Oreochromis niloticus: one gene and its partner. The protein of the gene in region 2 binds, or shares a complex with, the protein of the main gene of each other region. Links are inferred from orthologs where the notes say so. Each region holds a gene or a part of one and is shown on either strand. Other genes may lie near its edges.

Region 1 (11,757 bases), on a different chromosome or scaffold from region 2:
TCACATGGTCATGTAAACACACATATAAATACACTACACCAACACCCCCCTCCTCCTTCCTTACTCTCACACACACAATGCTATATTTAGCCAAGTTAATGACAGGACGTACATTTAGTCCTGCAGCAGAGCAACTAAGACTGTGAGAGCATATTTTTTTTTCAGGATGAGGTACTCACCACTGAAACGCTCTTGCGCAAAGATAGAACATTTGATGGGAAACTTTTGCCATTTCCATGGGCAAAAAAATATGTCATGCATTTTTCTATGTTTTTTTCCTTTTTACAGCAGCAGATACAGACTGTTTTTAGTTCTAATTTAATTTGTGTATAATGACTGGGGGGGATTTCACCAAGTGAAACGCACATAAAGAGTTCTGTTGTATCTCAGTCTCGGGGGTTCGCCCCAGTGAGACACTTGAGATGTCAGACGGACTGACTGCAGACAAAGAAAAAGCCACGGAGAGAGGATGAAAAGAGTGACAGCCAGAAGGACCAAGACGGAAAAGCAAATGATATTTAAACAGCAAGATAGTGGAGGAGATATGTCAGGAGAGGAGAAAGGAGATGGAGACAGAAAAGGAAACAGAACAGAGAGAGTTAGAGGGGTGGAGAGAATGACTCATCCTACTGTTGAGAGTACATATCTCCTCTCCTCCTCCTCCTCCTCTCTCTCTCTCTCTCTTTCTCTTTCTCGAGCCGAGGCTATCTGCACCTGGGTCCCACACTTGCGGCGCCAGCCATCCCATAATTACCCTCAAATGGCTGTTGCCACATCAGTGACGCACGGGAAGGCTGGCCTGACTGTGAAGCTCTGCATGCTTCAGAGTGCTAGTCACCTTTCCTAAACTGGCTCTCCCAACTGCACTGTGTATGTCTGTGTGTGTGTGCGAGTGTGTGTGCGAATGCAGCTAGCATTTGTCAAAATGTTGTGACTTTCTCTGTCGCTGGCTCGGCCGCTGCATTGTTGGCCAGGACATTGCATCACGGCTTGTGCGCTGGGGTTTGAAAGATGCCTGATTGTGAATTTTGGAGGAATGGATGACGGAATAAATGAGGTCATGCAGAATCGTAAGAGCTCAGTGAGCCTTAAGTTGTTGTCTGTCTGTGTTTGGACAAAAGAGCAAAAGAGGTGATCTCAGGGTGAACAAAGCTGATTTTCTGGAAACGAATACCGCCAAATTCCATTATGTCACGGAGCCGTTTAATGTTATCAGCAAAGCCTGCAGGTTAGTTTTTCAAAGTCACGACAGGATGCTTTTTAGGTTTTTTTGTTTTTGTAGTGGCGCTTTGAAATGTTACCATTAAAAGTGCACAGAGAAGTCTGAATGAGAAAAAAAAGATGCCGTCACCACACATCTTCACGGGTCGAGCGGGTCAGCCTACCAACATTAATGTTGCAGTGCCGTCGCTCCGTTGCCGAAATACTGAATTGCCGGCAACAAGCCACTTGAACTCGCAATGGACCGCAGCTTTACAGCTCTGAATGCGCGAACATGCATGTACGGACACATGCACTCGCACGAAGAAAAAAAGAAAAAAGCTGTGCAACACCCCCCTCCCTCCCCTCTTCCCCTCTGCCCATATACACAGTGACTCATCGCTCTGCAGCCATATAGCTATCAGAGGGACGCGACTAACTTCAACTTCTCTCACTGGCTGTCTGCTCTCATTCATCGACTGTAACCCAGCTAACCCAGAGGTCATGACTGGAGAATGTTACTGTTCAAAAGTCTCCATGAAAAAGGCCCTTTGGAGAGCCGGATTGAGGGGGTGGAGGAGATCAGTGGACGCTTACAGAAAAGAGAGTGACGCAAGGGCAAAGAGGCGACAAACAGTTTTGCAAGCATGGATTTTGTGTATCTTCCTGAACTATATCTGGCACTGGGAGATGCAGGCATTTAGATGTGTGTGTGTGTGTGTGTGTGTAGGTGTGTGTGTGTGGGCGCAGGTTCAAAGCATACTACTTCATGGATGTAAGTGAATGAAATTTTTCTGGACACGCCAGTTATCCTGCAGCATTGCTATGATGTAATTTATTAATAAATGATGAGTAATAAATGCATTCTAAGATATAGACCACAGAAGGTATGATTTTCTCATTCAGCAGCCTCGTCTCGCAGCTCTGCCAAACTGCCACCCACCACATTCACACATGCTTGCCTGTGCACGCGCACGCACACACACACACAAGCATGCAAAACAAACACACAACACTGCATACAAAGAGACACATCGAGAGTGAAATAGGGAGACAGACAGAGAGGGCGAAAATCTGGGAAGCTAAGCAGTCTGCCTCCACAAGTACAGAACCTCCTACTCTATCTGTGCCCACATTGATATCTGCACACATGGCCTGTGCGTGTATCAGCTGCTGCTGTCTTCACTCTGTGTCTTCACTGGCATGTACCACTACACTACACGTTTGAGAGCATTCAAATAAATCTGTATAGCTGAGATCGGTGTTAAGGACTGAGAGCAATTCGAGACTCGTGACAGGTGAATCTGATGCTGCAGTAGGACTTTAAATCCTCACCTTTTGTCATCAGCGAAGACAAACTTGCGTAATTTCAGGTCACCCAGCACAATGCCTGCCTGGTGGCAGTGGGCTACGGCCAGGGCCACCTGACGGAAGAGCCTGCAGGCATGTCCCTCGTCCAGTCGGCGACAGCTCTTTACCAAAGTGTGCATGTCCCCAAAGTCTTTATCCAGGAACACGTAGGCCTTGCGCTCACCGAGGATGATGTCCCTGATGCCGGCCACATTCTTGTGTGCTGGTAGAATACCATAGGCTCTGATCTTTTCCTGGTATACCCCCATATCAAAGACCTGGAAGAAAGATGGGAGGAAAAGGAGGGATGCATGATGGAAATTAGAAAGATGGTTAAGGAGAAGAGAGAGAGTGAGTGTGAGGAGGAGGAGGAGGAGGAAGAGGCAATAGGTCAGTATGTTCTTAATGATCATCTAAGTAAACAACCATGAAAATTTGGCAGCGACATAAAAAAGGCTTGGGATATGCTTTGATTCCAGCTCAATACATTGCTTTTGCAAGCGCATGACAAATGAATCATCAAAGCGTGAAGCGATTAACTTTATTAATCAACAAAGCCAAACGCCTGCAGGTCTATGATGCAAAATAAACAGGGATATGGAACAGTGGAGGACCCTGTCCTTATCGGGAAAGATCCTTATCACGAGAGCCTTTTTTGCCTCACATGTTTGCATTTTTGTGTGTCACAGCGTGGCGTACTGCGATGACGTGTATGCAAATGAGCCCAGTTGACAGACACAGTGCGAAGCACCGGTGCCAAGGATTGGTGGGCTTCAGTATGATAGGCTGAATTTCCACAATACAAAACAGGCAACATAGGGTTTGCCTGCTGTTCCACGTCGTGTAAAAATGAAAGGAGCCTTATCAGGTTCAGACATTTGAAAAAAATTAAAAATATGTATATAATGAAGTAAGACTTTTATTACGCAAATCGTGACACATTTCGCGTGAGAATGACATCTGGTGAAAAAGTCAGCCAAATACGGATGACATGTCAGACAGGGTATTGGGCAACGGGATGTCTTGAAACATCATTCATTCAAAGAAATTGCACAATGACTGGATTGCGCATACCTTACACAGTAGCTCATCACCAGTATCGGTGTTCATCGCGCTGTGCATGCACTCCCGGTCCGCCAGAGGTAGAAGTAGATACGATCCTATGCTGGATGGTCCCTGGTGAGTCGGTGGGACAGAGGTTAAGCCGGGGCTGACCGGGGATCCGGGAGAGGTGCCAAGGAGTCCCTGCGTGTCCCCCGCCTCGGCGCTCAGCCGGGCGCATTTGGCCGGCGGCTGATCGTCTGAGTCCAGCCGCTTGTGCGCGAGTCTCCCCGCGCGGATGCAAGGTGCCCGGCTGCTCCACTGCAAGTTCATCCTGATAGGCCGATTCACCATGAAAGCAAAAAAAAGAAGAAGCGAGGTCCGTCTGCTTTTAGATGCTCCCTTTGACGGTTAAAATAAGCTACAAACTGTGCTCTCCATTTCTCCGTAGAAGACTCAGGACTGGTGACACATAAAAGAAACTTCAGCGGATTTTGGTAATAATCCAAATCGACGTCCTTCTGTAGAGTGAGCGCTCGTGGCTTCTGAGGTCTGTGTACTTTTGGTGAGAGGAAAAAAATCCGATCCCTCAGAGCCCAGAGTCAGTGTTTGTTAGAGAGAGAGGGAGAAGAGAGAGAGAGGAAAAAAGAGAGAGGACACAGAGAGAAAGAGAGACCGCCTCACACTCAAAGAGTGGCTGAGAGTGAGCGAGCTCCAGTGATGTTGAGCTCTGAGCTCAAACACTCCGCCCGACCAGTCCAGCCTCCTGGTGACACAACCATTGAGCAATCCTGCTCAGCGCGGCTCTGATGACACTACCCACTGTATTAGCTTTCTCAGACGACTGCGTGAGCATATGCTTCAAACATTATTTATTTATTTTTCCTAACCAGTGTGTCATGAATCTTCAAATTCCCCCATAAGAGTTTTTTGCTGATATCAAGGAACTTGAGGAACTGATGAGAGGAGTGAAGAAATCATCTGTTACTTATCAGCTGCCTCATCAAGCATGCACATGTTTTAGGCAATAATTAACAATCCTTGAAGCACCTTGTCTGACTCAGTTGTTCCTTAGTGTTCGGCTCTTATTGCCCTTTATTGCCAGTTGTAACATTTTCTCCACAGACCTCTGCGTGGCACCGGAACTGTTTGCTCTCTAAACGCTGGGCTTCAGGTGTGAACCAGCCCATACAAAAAGCTTCAGTGTGCTAGCTTGAACTCTGGCTTTAACAACACCATGATATTTTCCCATGCTGGGCCTGTGGATATGACTCACCCCCATAAAGCTGTAGTTTTGTTGGGCTATAAGAACTCACAGAAAAATATGCCAGCTTGGCTCTGTAAACAACATCATAGCAGCCAGGCTAAGGTGAAACCACTTGTACATCAAGCACCCCTACCAAAGGAGCCAAATGCTGTGCAATTCTTTATGAGAATTATGCAATGATATTGAAAAAAAAATAATAATCAAGTGAACGATGGACCGTTAAGAATTCAAGGGTGAAGTGCAGGATATAGTCAGTTTGAAAAACATTCCTGTGATGAGCGCTGAGACGAGTCGTGTTGGGCAATTATAAATGTGCATGTTTGTGTGCGTTTGTTGGGGTGTGTACACACGCGTGACCATGCGCGTGTTGCGCAAGAGTTCTCTTTTTCCACTGCTTTATGTTGAACGAGCACAGTGGCTGCAGCAGAGGCTCACTGAGCATTCACTGAAAACACAGAGCACCAGCTGGCCTGTGTGCGCGTGTGCACCGTCAAAACTCTTTAGTGCGGCCAATCCTGCCAATCAGAAGCAGGCCGTTCCCAGTCGTTTCTTTTCACATCTCTAACACGGTTCCTTCCACAACATGTCACACACTTAACCGGGTCACAGCGGTTGGGCACAGCTTGACTCAAAAAGGTCATGCAAACCTGTTTCTGCAGGCTGTCCAAACATGGATGAGCTGCAGATTCCATAGGAATGATGGCTGTTATTTTTAGGCCTTGCATTCTTTCTTTGCGCGGTGGTCGTCCTACGAAAAAGGTGACTCACTCAACTGATTGATGCATGCGTGTCTCTATGAGCAAGTGTCTTTGTCATGCTGCTGAGCAGGCAAGGGAACAGGTTTCCTCTCTTTCTGCCTTCCCTCTTTCTCTTTTTAAGAAGTTGAACAAACAGGATGAGCAGTCACTGTGGGAATGGGAGGCAGAGGTACTGAAGGTTTATTGTTATGTGACATCAAAGTGATTATGTGTGTTTGGAGTCTGTTTGTGCGTGACACGGTGTTTAGGAGGATACTGGAAAAGCTGACTTATTTGTGTTGGCTGTGATTAAAAAAAGCTTGTGTGTGCATGTAATGTCACATTTTGTATCAGTGTAACTGAGAGTTCACGCTGGAATCACATCACGCAAAGTCACATCAAGATATGTGGGCTGTGGATTACACAATATAGATTTTATTGCCGAACAGCAGGTTGTAGCAGTATATATAGCCGGTCAGCCAGTGTGTGCCTCATGGTGTGTGTGGGTATGTGTATGTATACGGTGCCTGAGTAGGAGTGTTACTGAGTAGCCAGTGAGCTAGAAGTGAAAACAGTATTCAGGGCATGATCTTCCTTGTTATAATTAGCTGAGTCACTCACCACTGGCAGCAATAAAGAGAGACTGGGAATTGATCTGCTCTGAGAATAGTTCAAGTCTGATCTGGCTGACATCCAGCCATCACTGTGGGTTACTTTTCATTCATGCTCATTTTTACCAACGTACACAGACACATGCAATTAACGGAGCTGCAGATGTGAGACAGTAACTCAAGTTAGATGTATAGTCACCTGAATCACTCCTGACTGCCTGCTTTAAACTACCTCTTTCTGTTGATACTTTAGATGCTTCATAATAATTTAAAAAAACAGTTAAATCTTCCGTATGTTATCAGTGTTAAACATGACGAGTAAACAGTCAGCATGTTTCTTTCATGTGTGTTTTAAATTTATTTTACTAGCAAAACTGTTACTGGTTAGTTTACTGTTTTGTAATATGTTAAAAAAAAGATTTCTTTTTATTTAGAACGGTATTATTTTTCTTATTTTGACCCAAAAAAGCAACATCGATGAAATGACTGAGAGGATAAATAACTGTCAAACTGAGCCATACATACTGCACTTTACTCGCATCTATAGCCAAATTAGAATCACCAGTTGACCTAACATGTATTTCTCTGGACTGTGGGAGGAAGCCAGAATACCCGGAGGTAACCTATTCTAACACAAGGACAGCATGCAAACTCCACACAGAAAGGCCCCGCAGCCAGGATCTGAATGAAGAACCTCTGCGCTTGTGTTACCCACTGCACCAATGAATGCTAGCGTCTATTGACATAACCTGACTTCATGCAATTGAAGGAGAAACATCTGTTAGCTATCTTGATGGTGACACCACAGAAATGGTCCCGTTATCGCACGTTTGTTGAGTTCAGTTAAGTAATTTAGCATTAATCTTTTTCTATTAGTTGTTTTGGAGACAGACGCGAGCATGTTTGGTCATGTCTGACAAGCAAACACATACTTGGTTAGCCAGGTGCACCCGTAGAGTCCATTCATGCATTGCAGAGAAACAAACAAACTTTGACTGAACATTGACCGAAGCACTGTTACTAAACTTGACACAAAACTATTCATATCCTTTTCAGTTAATTGCATGAAAACTGCTCCAAAAGCATCCCGACAGTGAAAAAAACGGAGATCCAGATCAGTCACGCTAGCAGGCTAGCAAACAGCTAGTGACTGGATAAGCACCCACTTAAAAGGGGATACACCACTTTTTGCAAAGCTTTACGATTTAAAATATTTTGAATCTTCTATACATATTTACCTGATGTAAAGCCCCAAACCTTTTTTTCCCAGCATGTTTATTTCAACTGTAAAGTCTGACATTTTGAGACAGGAACTGACCCAAACGTGCCACTTTCACTTTCATTTTTAATTTTAATTTTTTCGTTTACATCTATTGTTTGTAGTATGCACGTATTTGCTAACATTGTTAAAATTATTATCATTGATTTTAGTGACTGCACCGCAAATCTTAAACCCCTCCCCCAGAAAACTCCTCTGCAGCAAAGAAAAGCTGATCTGTATTTCTCTGACAAAGTAACAGCTTCACAAAGTTCATGATATCAGGTAAGTATAATTACAGCTGAACTTGGATCCTATTCTTGTAAATCTGGAAGAAGCAGAAGGAAGTAGGGACATTATATGAGTCTTTTCACAAGCCAATCATTTCCACTGTTGGTATCATGCAGCTTGTTTTCTTTTATGACATTTGTAAAGTAGAATTTGTTTTCTCCAAATGTCTGGTTGTCTGCCATTACCATTGTTTCTCTGGCCGGCTGACAGTTTGCTATGAATGCTGAATTAGAGTGTGGGAGATAGAAGTGGGCCAGTGGATTTTAAACTGCATGCTTACAATAAAAAATTATTGCCTTTCTATTCTGTCAAGATAAAAATTCTGCCTCTAAAACAAAAAAAATGGTCTAAAAGCATTCAGTACTCCTCTTTTCTAGTGTCTATTCTCACATAAGCTCCCAGATTGTGAACTGCGTGAACTCAAGTGTTGAGGTCCCAACCAAAATTAGCCATCAATCCGCAACAATCATTTCTACTGAATATGCTCTATATTTTTACAACCTAGACTGACCTCAAGGACAATCAATCAAACCAGGAGCTGAGATGGAGATTGTTTCATGTGGAAGGACTCCAGACTGTAGTCTGGCCAAAAATTTCTGCCGTCCTTGTTAGTTATCCCAATCTGTCCATCACGTTTTCTTTCATCTTTTGGGTTGAGACACGGTTGGTTAGCTTAGACTCACCGGCTCCTTGGCAGCACAGATATTTGTGCTATTCAATCCCAGGTTAGGTTTCATGCATCCTTTTAATTTTTACAATATGCTCAGCTCAGGTTTTATAGCATTAATTGTTTTTACACTGGAACACACCCCGACACATTGTTCCCCTGTGATTGAAAACATTTGTTCTCACACAGGGGAGTTGTCATATTTGCACATACTCAGCACAAAGCCTTCCCCAAATGTCTTCTGAGAAGCTGTAAAGTTAAGCTGAAAAATTAAATTCTTCATCTGCTGTCCACAGAGTGTTCACATGAAGTGCTATGTAATGTTAATATGTCTTTTGTGGCTGACAGTTCTTGTAAATGAATGATTGGCAAAGCAAACCTACATGCTTTGTCATCTTTTTTGTGGTTCAGAAGGCAGGAAGTTCCTTTAAATGTTTTTTCTTTGTATATTTTGTCATATTAAGAGCCTGAGTTGAAGGCATCTGGGTTTTGTTTATAGGTTTTTGAAGACCTTGCAATGAAGGCGCTTCTTCAGTTTTACCAGCTGATAGGGAGTCCCAGGATTTAACCCTGTGTTCTGAGAGTCGCCAACCATGTCCTCATCTGAGTTGTTAGGGTTGCAAGAGCCAAGGTGTGACTTCTTTGTGAAACTTTGATAGTCTGATAAAAAGACCACCTCCAAGGTGACAGATCCATGAGAGATCCATGTAGGTATTCCCTATCAGTCTTCAGAACTAAAGAAGCCTCTCAGATGAGAAAGCAAACATCTTCAAGTCAAGCACTCAAGACTGCCATGATCTTCCTGACTGAGAACCTATAATATTTTTCTTCTTCAAATTTCCGACCAAATAGTACTGATATGTTGTCACAAAGCACTCATAACCTGCACAAACTAAGGGGATCAAGGCATTGTTTTAGTTTAACATTTATTTTACATTCACAGGAGTTAATTGCAGTAGGTGCAAGACCTGTTATCAAGATGGACGCGTAACCCTCCTGAACAAAAGCTATAAACATATTTAGAAGAATCAAGTAGGCGTTAGCTTTCGTCTAGAAGTGCAGTGCAAAAGGCATGTTTAGAGGTGGAGGCAATAACCTGTCAGCAGTTTCGTGGGGCGTGGAGTTATCTCCAACAGTGTAAATCCACAAATGACTTTTAGGGCAGTGTGTTGTCCAGAGCACAGGTGTAGTATTTGACCATAGTTGGGAACGGCTTCTTCAGACCTTTCAGTGTAGTAAACATAACCTGAGGTTATTGATATGAGTTCTGCTTTGAGCAAAGAAAGTTTTTTGGTTATTACATGATGGGTAGATACACTAGCTATAACATGGTTGGTCTACAGTTTTTTCTGGTTTAACCAGTTTGAGATCTGGTGATCATGTAGGCCATCACTACTCAACCTATGGCCTGTGGACCGAATCATGGCCCACTATAGGCTCTTGTCTTGGCTGCTGATCAATTTGTAATTGTAAAGATGTTTTTGACGTGACTGAGGATGTATGAAGTCTTTTGGACCAAAAAACCCCAACTTTGTAGCTTTTGAATGCAGTGAAATATATTATTCTATATATACACTGACCTGCCACTTAATTAGGTACACCTCGGCAGCTGCTCATTGATGCAAATATCTAATCAGCCAATCACATGGCAGTAATCTAAGTATAAGTATTCAGACACGGTCAAGACACCCTGCTGAAGTTCAAGCTGAGCACCAGAATGAGGAAGAAAGTGAGTATAAGTGAGTTTGCTGGTGCCTGAGTATTTCAAAAACTGCTAATCTACTGGGATTTTCCCACACAGCCAACTCTAGGGTTTACAGGGAATGGTACACCAAGCAGCTGTTCTCTGAATTAAAATTTCTTGTTAATATCAGAGGTCAGAAGAAAATGACCAGCCTATAATTCACACAGGCTCACCTAAAGTGGACAACAGAAGACTGGAAAAAGCATTACCTGGTCCAATGCAACATGCAGATGGTAGAGTCAGAACTAGGAGTGAACAACCTGAAACATTAATCCATTCTGCCTTGTATGGTTCAGGCACTGAGTGATTTTCTTTGATTATTTTTAATTAATTTTTGTTTATTAACCAGCTACTTGGCCTCTGAGCCTTTTCCATTAACTAGTTCACCTGGTTGAGAAGATAACTCATGCATTGGTGTTTAAAAATCCTTATGAGTAACTCTGTAACCCAGACTCTACTAACACAATAAACTCATGCTTGTAGTTGAAAGCAGGCTGGTGTAACTAGCTGATTATTTTTTTTGTGACTATATAAGCAGCACTAATAATCACACAAGACAAACACAAAATAGCTTAAAGATCCTACGATCTTACACATAAGAGGCTAAAATGACTTTGAAGATGAAAGAAGTGCACTGTGTGAGAAAATGGGAATTACGTTCACCCACTGTAACCCACCAAACTCAAAGCGAAACAGCGCAGTTATCCTTTCTTGGTGCAATAACGCAATTTAACTGGAAAACTCACATGTATCAGGCAACCCCCCTTAAGCCCTACATCAGCAGAATTTCATCTGAAAAGCTCAGCTCACTTCCCTTCAGGTCCCAAGAACAAAAATTTCACAACTCTGTGTTTATCAGTCACTCTTCGACACATGATTTCACTGAAATAGCTCGTCTTACTCTCAGAGTTCCACTCCAGGATGACTCAAGGGGTTTCCTGTTGTTAATGGGAAGTGAATGACAATTGTGTATGCATGTGTGTGTGTGTGCTGTAGCCACAAAACACACACGTCACCACCATACTGTCTCCGGCCTATCATTGAGGTTGCACAAGCAGCCTTTGCTCAGACAGGCCGAGTCCGTGATGTCACTGTCAGTGGAATGAGAAAACACAGCGAAAGGAAACAAGAAGTGCATCGCGTCATTTGTCCGCTCAGTTGAGGAAAAAGTGTCGAGGTAGGGAAGTAGAGGAGACCGATTACAGACCAGTCAAAATTATCAGTCCAGTTGATTTGACGGCCTCTGTGTTACCATAAAGTCACAGCGGCTTTACACTGATTGGCTGAGGTGAGAAAAGTTAAGGGGATCAGCAGAGCCATTAAGATTCTTTTTATGGTTGCATCAACGATAGAGGTGGCCTGCCCCACTGGTAGACCATAGAGACTGTAGCTAAAAATATGTAAATGCCTCTGATTTTCTTCACTTGTCCTTTCTCTTCTTAGTGTTGCCACTCGTACCCTTTCCCCCTGGTGTCACTCGCTTTGATTTATTTTATCGGCCGTGTTAAAAATATTCTTTTACAAACACCACCTCAGAAGATGGCACATGAAAGTGTCATCCATCATTAATCTCCTCTGTGCGGCGTGATGA
Region 2 (11,225 bases):
TGGAGGGACAGTAACTGTGTGTGTATATGTAAGCATTTAAACACTGCAGAGAGTACAATTAACAGTAACAGTATTGTAGAAATTCATTTCACCGAAACAATAACGTGGCGCACAGTGTGACGTCAAAAAAGGCGCACACCTTTGACGCTGCGTTTTCTCCGTTTTTCTTGTCCACACGTAAATGCAAAAACGGAGTTTTCGAAAATATCCACCCTGGCAGGCGTTTTTAGAAATCTCCGTTTTCAGTGACTGAAAATGCCGTTTACGTGTGGACGAAAGGTGCAAACGCATAGAAAAATCTGCGTTTTCAAAAATACCCGGGTATGTGTGGACGTAGCCTCAGATGGAGATAATATCTGACTATTTCTATTCAATTCTACTTAATCTTCAATGAAAACCAAAGAGTAGCTCCAAAGCAAACATCTGAAGGACTGAAAAGCACCACCACACCCACACTGACTGATGCTGACATTTAAGACGGAGACTAAGATTGGCTGACCATTAAATCTAAAATGTTGATGTTTTTTAAAAAAATATATTTCAGGTTTGGATAGATGAGCAACAACCGTAAATACAGGAGGAATACTAACAAAACATCAATCAAATAGACAGTTAAGTTGCGGGGACCTAAATTTGACTGATATAAAATATCTACATGGAATCTAAAACTGGCAAATCACAACTGATTAAATAAGAAGAATTACACTCTAAACAAAAACAAGCCCAATCAGATAAAACTAGAAACATGAAATATGTCCAGAGGCAAATTATCACACACATGCTAACAATCAATCAGCAATGTGTCCTGTATACAGAATAAGCAGCAAGGCAAAGGAAGACTATTGACTATATACAATATCACGGCTAACTATGGAGCCCTTATTTCTAAACTAGCTTGGACATTCTATTAACATATTGACAGATACCAATACATAAGCCTAAACTTAGCTGAATTACTGGGCTTGCTCTTGTGTGAGTCTGTCTGTTTGCATGACAGTCAAACAGTGACACACTGCATGTGTTTGTGTGAAAAAGAAACAGAAAGACGAGCATGTGCTTGACAGCGAGAAAGCTCAAGGCGCCATGTAGCGCCATCTGAAAATCTGAAAGACATGTTTGTAGCATCCATACTTGCAATTCAAAAGCAAAGACTCCCATTTCAAAACTGGTTTGGATTTTAGATCTCATTATCAATGCAAGTCTTAGATAGTGCTGATGAAATCCAAGGTTGTAAAGTCCTACTTCTCTTTTTATGTCACGTAAACTGACAAAAACAAAAAAAAGGGATGTCTGAAACTGCCCAGAAACCTTCTGACAAAAGTAGCATCTTTACCATTGCTACCAGTACTATATACACACAATGCCTAATTTATTATGAACATCTGAAGTCTAACGCAACCCAAAAGAACTTCTTTCTGCCAGGAAGTCTGACAGAGTGACGTATTTAATGTAATGGACATCCTGCTGTATTGGAGTGCATTATACCATGAAACGTTTGTCACATTCTGTAAAAGGGAACACCTCAATAGTGCGGTCTGATACAACGATGACCTTGATAGCAAACACATTATTGCACTACATGTCGATCAGTGTCATCAGAAACTCAGAATATTACACAACTTCTGTTTGATTCAGTTTAAACAGATCAGAACCCACTGCCTCCAAAACAACAAGGTCTTATCTGCACGTGATAAATTTCATTTGTTGTCTTTCCAGAACAAAAAAGTGGACATTCAGTGGATATTAAAACATTTCCATTATGTTTTATATTACTGATTGTATTCCACTGTTACAACCTTGTGATAACATTTAAAGAATTAATTTAGAGAACTTGTAAAAGGTTTAACAAATTAAAAAAAAAAAAAAAAAAACCACTTTAACTTTATGCTAAAAATAATTAACCCTCTCTAATTCTGTCTCCTCACTGCATCTTGCATTTTTCACTGAAACATACAAGCTCTGTGATCATGTGATCAGTTTCATGATAAAACACAACAGCCATTAATTATGAACCTCCTCGGTTTGCACGGATTGCATTAACGAACTTTACATAATTTTAAAGGAAAAAAAAAAACCCTCCATCGCAACCAATGAAAAGCTAAAGAGCCAAAAAAATGAAACAAAAACAAAGAAATGCACAGATTAGCCTCTCACTTACCGCTTCCAGCTGCTTCTTCTTCTGAAGCAGCAGCTCGAGCATCAGGTTGACATTTGCCAGGTCCAAGTTCTCCTGATCAGGACTCAAAACATCCTGGAAGACCTGCCACCGAGACCCATTCTGAAGGTCAGAGACACTGATCAGTTACAAGTAACAAAACATATTTTTAAAAAGCTTGACATCTTCACAAAAAGAGAAAAAAATCAAATCAGTTTGAGAACATGCTGTACTCACTGGATGATCTAACTTTAGCCTCTTCTCTTCTGACCTCTGTTTTTGTTTAAGGATCAGTTCATTTACTGGGATGTGGTGAGGAAGTTGTGGACAAGGGATAAATAAGAGAGGAGGAACAGTGGAGTAAGTATATGACAAAGAGACTGTCACAGCTAAGGAACAACACATCTGCAGAGACATTTTACTTGTGATGAATAAAAGAAAAGTGGCAGCGACATCTTTATCATTATGCATTTAAATACCTACACAATGCATTTCATTAGATTTTTGTTTGGCCCATTTATGAGACAAAACTTTCAATTTTGACTTCATTCAAATACGAAAGCCTCATTTTAGTAGTGATTATGAGCTAAAGACAAATCTATTCAAATATTGTGATTTTAAAAATCATTAAGTCCAAAACTGACATAACAGCTATATTTTAATGTCCAAGTTAAAATGAAAAGCTCTGAGAAAAATGATTAGTTTAGGAGCTGATCATCTGACTGTTAGAAAAAACCCAAAACAAAACAAAAAATCCCTCCAGTTCAAAATACCCACCAAGAAAGTTTGGGTAGACCTGATCCACATTATCGATAATATAGTTACACTTGGGACATCTGTTGCTGTCCTCCAGACTCTGGCGGATACACTTGAAACTGCAGGATGGAGAGAGAGAATAAATAAATATTATGGACTCCAGCTCCACGTTTCAGTCCAAGATCTTACAAGATTAGCTTTAAACGAGTCATAGTCAAAATAATCTTTATTCATCCCATACTGGGCCTTCTTCTGATTATATGTGACCCTCAAAAACAGAACTTTTGCTCAAAGCCAGAGCTCTGATCCTGTTAAGGATATCTGCTCGCACCGACATCACCAGTGAGTAGACAAACTATCGCAAACTGAGGCATAACTTGCTAATGTGCTGATGTCATTACTTGGATCTTTGGTCATGTTTATTATGAGCATTGAAAAACGAGCCCATTAACAGAAATGAGAATCACTGCAAGCAAACACAACAGGCATAAAGAACACTGAGCCAACTGTGGATTACCAGTAATCATGTTAAGCTTTACCATAACTTTGCTGAAGAGTCTACAGGCTTATATTCAGCTTAAGACCATCTACTGTCATTAAAAACTAGTTAATGTTTTTGCTCTGTTTTTTTGTTGTTGTTGATGTTGTTTTTAATTATTACAACCAACTTTGCAGTTTGAACCTTTTCCTTTTTGCTTCTTATCAAAATGCAGTGTGGATGACTTAGTTCATTCATTTACTTTCTATAATTAAAAGAAAATGTGCTTACATAAAATAAAAGTCTCTTATATCTTAGACTAGATTAAACATCCGTCATTTCATTATCGATCAAAATAATTGGGATTTTTGCCAAAATAAAGCACTCCTTCCAGTTGATTTTACTGATTCCGGTGGCAATAGCCATTGTGCTTACTTTTTTAATGTTAGCCTAATGAATCCTGATCAATTCTCTGTGCAAAACAAACAGCAAGCCTTTACAGGCTTTTGGCATTAATGAAAAGTTGAATTCAGGGTTTTTTTTTTCACCTTGAATAGAAAACAATATTGGTGGCATCCTCTAAAGGAAAATTACCAGGATTATAAATTAGTTGGACATGTTTTAACCGTAAGCTTGCTTTTCACTCATTAAACTCCCAAAATAAAATGCAGAAATGTACACCAAACAGACTCGCTGCTTTAACCAATCTTGCTTTTGCAGCGTCACCCCTATTTTGAGTCAGAAAAACTCTTGGGTCTGACCAGAGACGAAGTGAGGCTTGCATGGTGTACAAAACTTGCATTGTATGGGTTTGATGTTGTTATTGTCATTAAAATATAGCAACACTGATGTGATGGACTGTGATTTGGAACTTCCTCTAGAAGCCCATCTGTAACATTAAAAACATGCCCAAACTTTAAAACAAAATGCAAGAACAAAAAAATACTATAAAAAAATATTGTCAAAAGTTTTTTTTAAAGTGCACAGTAATCAGCTGTAAGTATGGATCCCCGCAGAGTGCATGGTTTGTCTTAAAGATAACTTTGTTCCTTCAGTCTGTGACATTTGTTGCTCTTCAGCATTTGTGACACTGTCGAATACTTTGCTGTGCATCATTTTCTCTACAACACAAACACTCACCAAAAACTGTGCCCGCACTTCGTCATGTGTGCCTCGTCTATCATTTCGAAGCAAATGGGACTGGAAAAACAAGCAGAAACCCGAGTCATCGTGCAGCTCTCAAACTTTTACGGAACTCACCCCAAAGCTCGAGTGCAATACAAAACTAACCAGACGAAGTCGTTGCTTTTATCTTCGTATGAATTCAAGAGGCCGTTGTACAGTGGTGCCTGATGCAGGGATCTCTTTCTGTTACCAGAGGACGCAGACGGTCTGCTGAGAGAAGCTAAGCCGCCCCGGGGTGACGGCACGGCGGCCAGAGTTGGCACTGACAGGCCGCCCTCTCCGGCCGCTGCCAGGGTCCGTGAGGGCACAACATTTCCAGAAGTGCTCCCATTACTTGTGGGAGCGCTGCTGCCACCGCCACCGTTTGTATTCCCAGTGCCTCCTGTACTACTACTGCTGCTGCTGCTGCTACTTGTGCTGGGCACTGAACTCGCCCCAGCAGCGCTTTGCTGTGGCCGGTTGCTTGACATCATACAAGGCCGACTAGGAACTCCCCAAATCCGCTGCGTTGCTATTCAAAGCATCCGGAAAGAGCAGCTATTTGGCTACTTTAGCAGATTTGCTAGCTAGCTGGTTTGCTTATGTGCTAACATCCTGGGAGAAATACAAGAGTGGCCAAACATCCAGCGGAGAGAAAAAAAAAAAAAAGGTTGGCCGTCGATGTCTGGTTTAACGCTTGTCACTAACGGTGAATTCCAAGATCGCTGGACTCTAAACAGAAAAACACAGACCAACACTGTAACGGCCAAGAAAATAAGAACGGCTGCGCTGTTCAGGAGATTATCCGGCTAGCTACTGTTAGCAACAGAGAGAGTTTCCTCGATTACTCGGGTACCAGCAATCCAAAACCTGGTTTTAAACTATCGCCCCCTAGCGAGAAGGAGTTTAACCGCGCTGGTGGAAATGTAGACTTCAGGGAATTATCCACTCAGAAAAAAAAGAGCACAGCTTTTAATTTGTCTTTCAGTATGCCAGTCCTAGTCTCTATAACTGTTTTAATGCTTACATCATTTAATTATCCTGTTTAAGTAGTATCATAAAGGATATAATCATGTGACCCATGGCATGAAAAACAGACAGCAATGTTTATTGGAATGCAATGTAGCAGGGCTGAATTAAATACTATCCTCGTATTTAACACAGGGGATTTTCTCAGTGTTAATAACAACACTTGGAAAAGGAGTTTGTTTATTTCACTTCATGCTATGTTATGTTACTCTGTAAAATACTTTTTTGCGATGTGATTATATTATTGTTATTGTTATTATTATTATTATTATTATTATTATTACATGTTCTGTACTATGTTGTAAAGTCTAGTTATAGTAATTCAACAGAAAAAATGACTTTGATTATGGAATTTTAAACATGTGTGTTGTTTTATTTCCTTCTTTTATTTCTATTTTTGTAACCCCTTGAAACAGTTTGTGTGAAACACAATTATCTCAGCTGAACCTAGAATTACTAGCTTTTTTATAACTTCCTGCCAATACTGGCTTTCGCTGCTATCCAAAGCTCAAATCATGCTAGGAGGTTCTGAGATAATGTCCCTGGAAGCTTTGAAGAAAATTGGATGAACAGGTGCACATGTTTACAGAGATTCCTTGATTTATTGGAGAAATATAATACGATGAAAACGTCCAGTTCATAAACTCAACTAACAACATGTAGCCATGAAAGTTAGTCAGGTAGCTAGTTAACATACAAACAACAAAAGAACGTCAGGCAGGTACACATATTGCATGTATGCATTTTTGTCATCTGCAGTTCTAGATTCAAGATTAAAGACTCTTTTTTGTTTATATCATTATATTTAATGACACAAATCTTGAAAATATATATACTATAAGACTGGGATTTAAAAATATCGCACACTTGACTGAACATGATTTATTTACAGGCTATGTGTATCTATAAGTAATGTGTATACCTGAGGGATGTAATAGTGTGGAGTGGTAGAAAAGTGTACTTCACAAACAGCTTCCACAGCATGTCTTTTATCCTGTCTTCCTTCTCTCATCCCAACCGGTCGCAGCAGATGGCCCCGCCCCTCCCTGAGCCTGGTTCTGCCAGAGGTTTCTTCCTGTTAAAAGGGAGTTTTTCCTTCCCACTGTCACCAAAGTGCTTGCTCATAGGGGGTCATATGATTGTTGGGTTTTTCTCTGTATGTATACTGTAAAGTCTACCTTACACTATAAAGCGCCTTGAGGCGACTGTTGTTATAATTTGGCGCTGTATAAACAAAATTTATAATTGAAAAAGGTTTTTACATTTTTTCTAAAATGTACTGCATATGCAGATGTAAACTTCCCTCAGAGGTCACTGACATTTTCAGTGCAAAAATCCAGGTGAAATGATAAACACATCTAAAAATATTGCCACATATAAAAATCCATAACGAGAGGATCAAATGAAGAGTTTTGTGTAATCAGCATCCACTACTGAATAAAAGGCCGGTAACTGTGATAGAACACAGATTCAGTTGTTTAACACATGAATACTGCGTCAGAATTCACTTTTAAGTTAAGAGGTAAGTACATCTCAAGAATCAGACGTGCATCTGCAGCACCACAGATGCACGTCTCTATTTAAGAAATGCCTCCAAATATTACAGAGATTTCTGTCCACCACTCAAATGCACAGTGGCTCCCGTGCTTGTCATTCTTTCCAGATTGCCTTTTTACATTAAAAAAACAAAAAAAATCAAGCAGGTAGGTCACATCCACAAAGTGCAGCCAGGGGCCGAGCCAACACAAACAGCATCGTGTCATTCAGGCATCCACCTGCAGCTTTGCAAATAGAACCCGAGGAGCACTAACATATTCACGCTCACAGTTTGTCCAGCCTGCTACTTGATTTTTCCATTTTTACCTCCATGTGGGCAAATAAGGGGTCCTCCACGTAGGCACGCACGACATTGGATTTTCCCATGTTTTTGTTTGCGGAAAGAAGTTTATATGTTTCATTATGGAGCTCAGTTAGGATGGAGAGTAAGTTTTTTTTCTTTTTCAGCTAGAGGAAAGTTACTGAGTACGTCGAAGAGCAAATGAGTTTCTCTGAGAGGGGACCACCATGTTAACGGGCTTCCTCTGTGCTGCATGCAGGCGGTGAATCATGCTGAGTTTAGAAGAAGCCAACGGAAAGTCACTGTGCTAATATCAGCAGCGATGCAGTTTTCACAAAAGCTCCAAAAAGGGGAAACTTGTGTCACTTTTTTCATTTTTCAACGAGGCTTTACAGATCGGTAGAAAATATAATTTCAAAGAAACAAAAAAGGCAGTGAAAGTGTGAAGCTTCCAAGCAATGAAGCAAATGTTGCAGCTATTGATTTGAACACCCTCATCGCTAAATCCTGAATCCTTGGAGTAAAACACCTGCAGCACTGTCCACACACTGTGCTTCATGTGCCTTCCCCCTCGGCCCATCTCCCTGCCCCACTTCTATTTCACACCAGTGGTGGTGAAAAGCACTCTTTTCTTCTTTCTTCCCCCTTCTCATTTGTCCTCCGCATCAGCCTGGATTTTCTCCTATTGGGCCCCCCCTCTTCCTTTTTTTTTTTTTTTTGCATGAGGATCCAGGTTGTGTGTGTGTGTAGAAAAGAGAGCACGAGGGGAAGGGGACATGGAGCTGGCCTCGGGGTCGTTGGGGTCAAGACGGACAAGCTGAGATGAAGGATAATCTGTGGAGGTCCCTTACAGTGGGGGGTGAGGCCCTGGAGGAGCACGCCCATTCAGACGCTCTACCAGACACCCCACTCCCTTCTATGGCTCTCTTCCTCTCTTTCTCTTCTGCCTCTTCTCCTCCATCCTCTGTTTTTGTTGGAAATTTAAAGTCCCCCTCCCCCTCTGATTTCTCTTGTCCCCCTCTTCCTCCAAATGCAGTTGCAGCTGGATTTCAAAGGGCACTTCTGCAGCAGAGAAAGCTGAATGTTTAGCAGCCAGGCTTGGTTTGTGGAATTCCTGCCTCCCACTCTTTAGGAACCGTTTTTTGCCCCTTCAGGGGCCCCTGCCATAACTGCCGGTGGCCTCCCCCTCCTCCTCCTCCATTTCCATCTCCAACCTTGAGCCAGGGCCCTGTTGGCAAATTGAGCTTGACAAAAAAGTAAAATAGCAGGGCCTGAAAGAAGGAGGCAACACTTTAGAAGGTGTGGAACAACAAAAAAGTGGCCTACAGGAGGCCGTTTTTTGTTTGTTTGTTTTGTTTATTTACTATTAAAGATTTAATTACCACTTAAAAGATAAATAATGACTCATTCATAAAAAAAATGCAAACCAATACCACAGTGTGCAGTTTCAAGACTTTAAAATCATCTGGTGGAATATCACTTCTTAGTGATTTTTAAGGATCAGTATAGATTTTGTTTGCAGCTTCTGGAAACATTACAGTGAGCACACCTGTCTTTTGACTTAGACTGCCTGCACAACATGCCAAAAGCTATTTTCCCATTTGTAAGGTATTCATCATGGCTTGAGATATTCATCAATGCACGATAAGCTTCAGAGCTGGCTCGGAAATGACAAAGAATTCAAGGACACCTGCAACACTTTAAATGCATGTTTTCTGTTTGTTTGCCTTCGAATGCAAAAGTAGTAGCATTACTGAGTTTCTGCCCGAAACACGCTTACATGCACGACCTCTAAAGGCAGGGGGAAAAAAAACAAACAGGGTGAATATTGAGGTTGAAAGAAAACGAGTTGACCATTAAAGGGGCCTTTCATTTGCTTTTGTGAGAGACTTCGACCACAGCCCTTCCTTCTTTCAGAGGACAGACTGCTCCTGATAATGGAAATTACAAAAAAAAAATAAAAAAATCAGCTGGACCTTCAGTAGTTTTTTTTTGTCATTTTTGCATAAAAAACAGTATCAAAAGATAGTAAAATGTCTTTTTTTGTTGTTGTAACATTTCATTATGCAAGTATATGTCTGCATGTATGCAGATGCACACAGCTTTTCATAGAATCTGTTCACTGGGCACCTACAAACGGACAAATCTGTGTGCATTATTTCACCATCATCCACCTTGGTTTAATTTCTTCCTCTCTGCCAGTGCTTCCACCCCTTTTTTCAGCCTTGGCCCACACGAGCACAAGAGTTCAGCACAAAGCAGGTAGCATATTTGGATGGTAAAACCCCCCCCCAAAAAAACCTTTTTCACGTGCAGGACAGATGTTGTGCCTGTCTGTGCTGTACCACTGAAGAGAGCCAGAGTGTGAGTGTGTGAGTGAGACTGCAGGAGAATGGGCAAGGGAGAGAGAATGAGGGAGGGAGGGAGAGGAGAAGGAAAAGGAAAAGGAAAAGGAAGAGAGAAAGTTACTCAAACTTTACCTATTTCATTTAGGGGTAATTTGTGTGTGTGAGAGAGAGAGAGGGGAAAGGAAAGAGAGTGAGGGAGGGTCATAGGGAGAAAACACTTCTCCTCCCCCATCCCAGCCACCATCATTCATCGTTTGCCAGGTTAGAGAGTCCCATTAAGAAGACACGGACAGCAAATCATATACTGCAGCTTATGCTGCGATTGTTTTCTACTCAATCTGACACCAGTTTACACAGTAATTCACTGTGTGACTTATGAATATCATAATGTAAATATACATTATGTAATATTGTAGCATAATATAGTATAATATAAGGTATTAAAACTTAGTTGTGCTTGTGCACTTGTCCACGCACAAGTGCACTTTTTTCCTGGACCATTCTCCACATTACCAGACGCATAAATGTTTCAAAATAGAGGAGGACCTCAGACCTCACTTTAACCTCACTTTAACTCTCTGAGCTCAAAGCCATCATTGGTGATGACCCCAGTTCCAACCCCTACCAGTAGCTATAACTCTAACCCCGTGCAATCAAGCTAAGTCATTTTTTCATTGCTCTCCTTGGAACTTCCAAGTCCAAAGTTGAAGTAAATCACCATGGAGGTGGCATTTGAAGAATGAGAGCCTAATTTTACTCACATGTAGCAGAACAAATCTTTACAAGCTGGTTCCTCTACCTCCGCAAATACATCCAATGTCAAAGAAATGCAGTGGATTCATAAGCATCCTGTAAGGTTAGAAGGACGTCACATGAACTATATTTGCTGTTTGGTTTGGATTTCTCCAGCCTATTTGCATGTTTAGCAGCAGTCTTGCATTGCCACCTTTACTAGAGTAAAAGGGCCAGGATACTTCTCCCACCGCCAGTGATGATGGATGGATGGGTGGATGGATGAGGTCAGGACAAGAATAATAAATGTATGAATAAACTTTACAGCCTTTTTCCTCTCTCAACTCTGGATCAGAGGGATGCACAGCGCAGCAGCAGCAGGACTGGCCAGGAAGGAGAGAAGAGAGGAGAGGATTTCCCTTGTAAAACTCAAGTGTGAGGGAGCGGGTAGGACGCCTCCCCCTCCTCCTCCTCCATCACCACCACCACCACCACCACACTTCCCCTACCGGTGATGTCAGGGCGGGTAGGGGCTCCCTGATAAAAAACCTTTGGACTCGGGAGAATGGGAGAGAGAGAGAGAGAGAGAGAGAGAAAGAGAGAGAGGTGAAGGAGTGAATGGAGGAGGATATTACTACAACTGCATAAACCGGTGGAGAGGAGCAGCAGCAGCAAAGAGCGCACAGAGACGCACAAGAAAAAAAGAGGAGCTCGAGCGCAGACGCA

What was found.
Region 1: the proteins of cop1 (region 2) and trib1 are in contact, whole or in part, in a crystal structure (PDB 5IGQ), measured with the Homo sapiens proteins. The link is inferred for Oreochromis niloticus from reciprocal best matches to the Homo sapiens genes COP1 and TRIB1. Residues at the interface, in NP_071902.2 of Homo sapiens: Ile423, Ser425, Val441, Lys472, Tyr491, Trp517, Asp534, Ala556, Asn557, Cys559, Ala576, Asp577, His578, Lys600, Ala601, Ser603, Thr618, Lys643, Asn644, Phe645, Phe699; in NP_079471.1 of Homo sapiens: Asp355, Gln356, Ile357, Val358, Pro359, Glu360, Tyr361.

What each region holds. Positions count from the first base shown.
Region 1 is NC_031985.2:21,527,400-21,539,156, forward strand, and holds the start of trib1 (tribbles homolog 1), read right to left. Parts: upstream 4,387-11,757; 5' UTR 3,946-4,386; coding exon 3,625-3,945; intron 2,829-3,624; coding exon 2,536-2,828; intron 1-2,535. UniProt on the Homo sapiens protein: Adapter protein involved in protein degradation by interacting with COP1 ubiquitin ligase. The COP1-binding motif is masked by autoinhibitory interactions with the protein kinase domain.
Region 2 is NC_031982.2:4,015,555-4,026,779, reverse strand, and holds the start of cop1 (E3 ubiquitin-protein ligase COP1), read right to left. Parts: upstream 5,504-11,225; 5' UTR 5,048-5,503; coding exon 4,680-5,047; intron 4,590-4,679; coding exon 4,530-4,589; intron 3,031-4,529; coding exon 2,933-3,030; intron 2,458-2,932; coding exon 2,393-2,457; intron 2,279-2,392; coding exon 2,159-2,278; intron 1-2,158. UniProt on the Homo sapiens protein: E3 ubiquitin-protein ligase that mediates ubiquitination and subsequent proteasomal degradation of target proteins.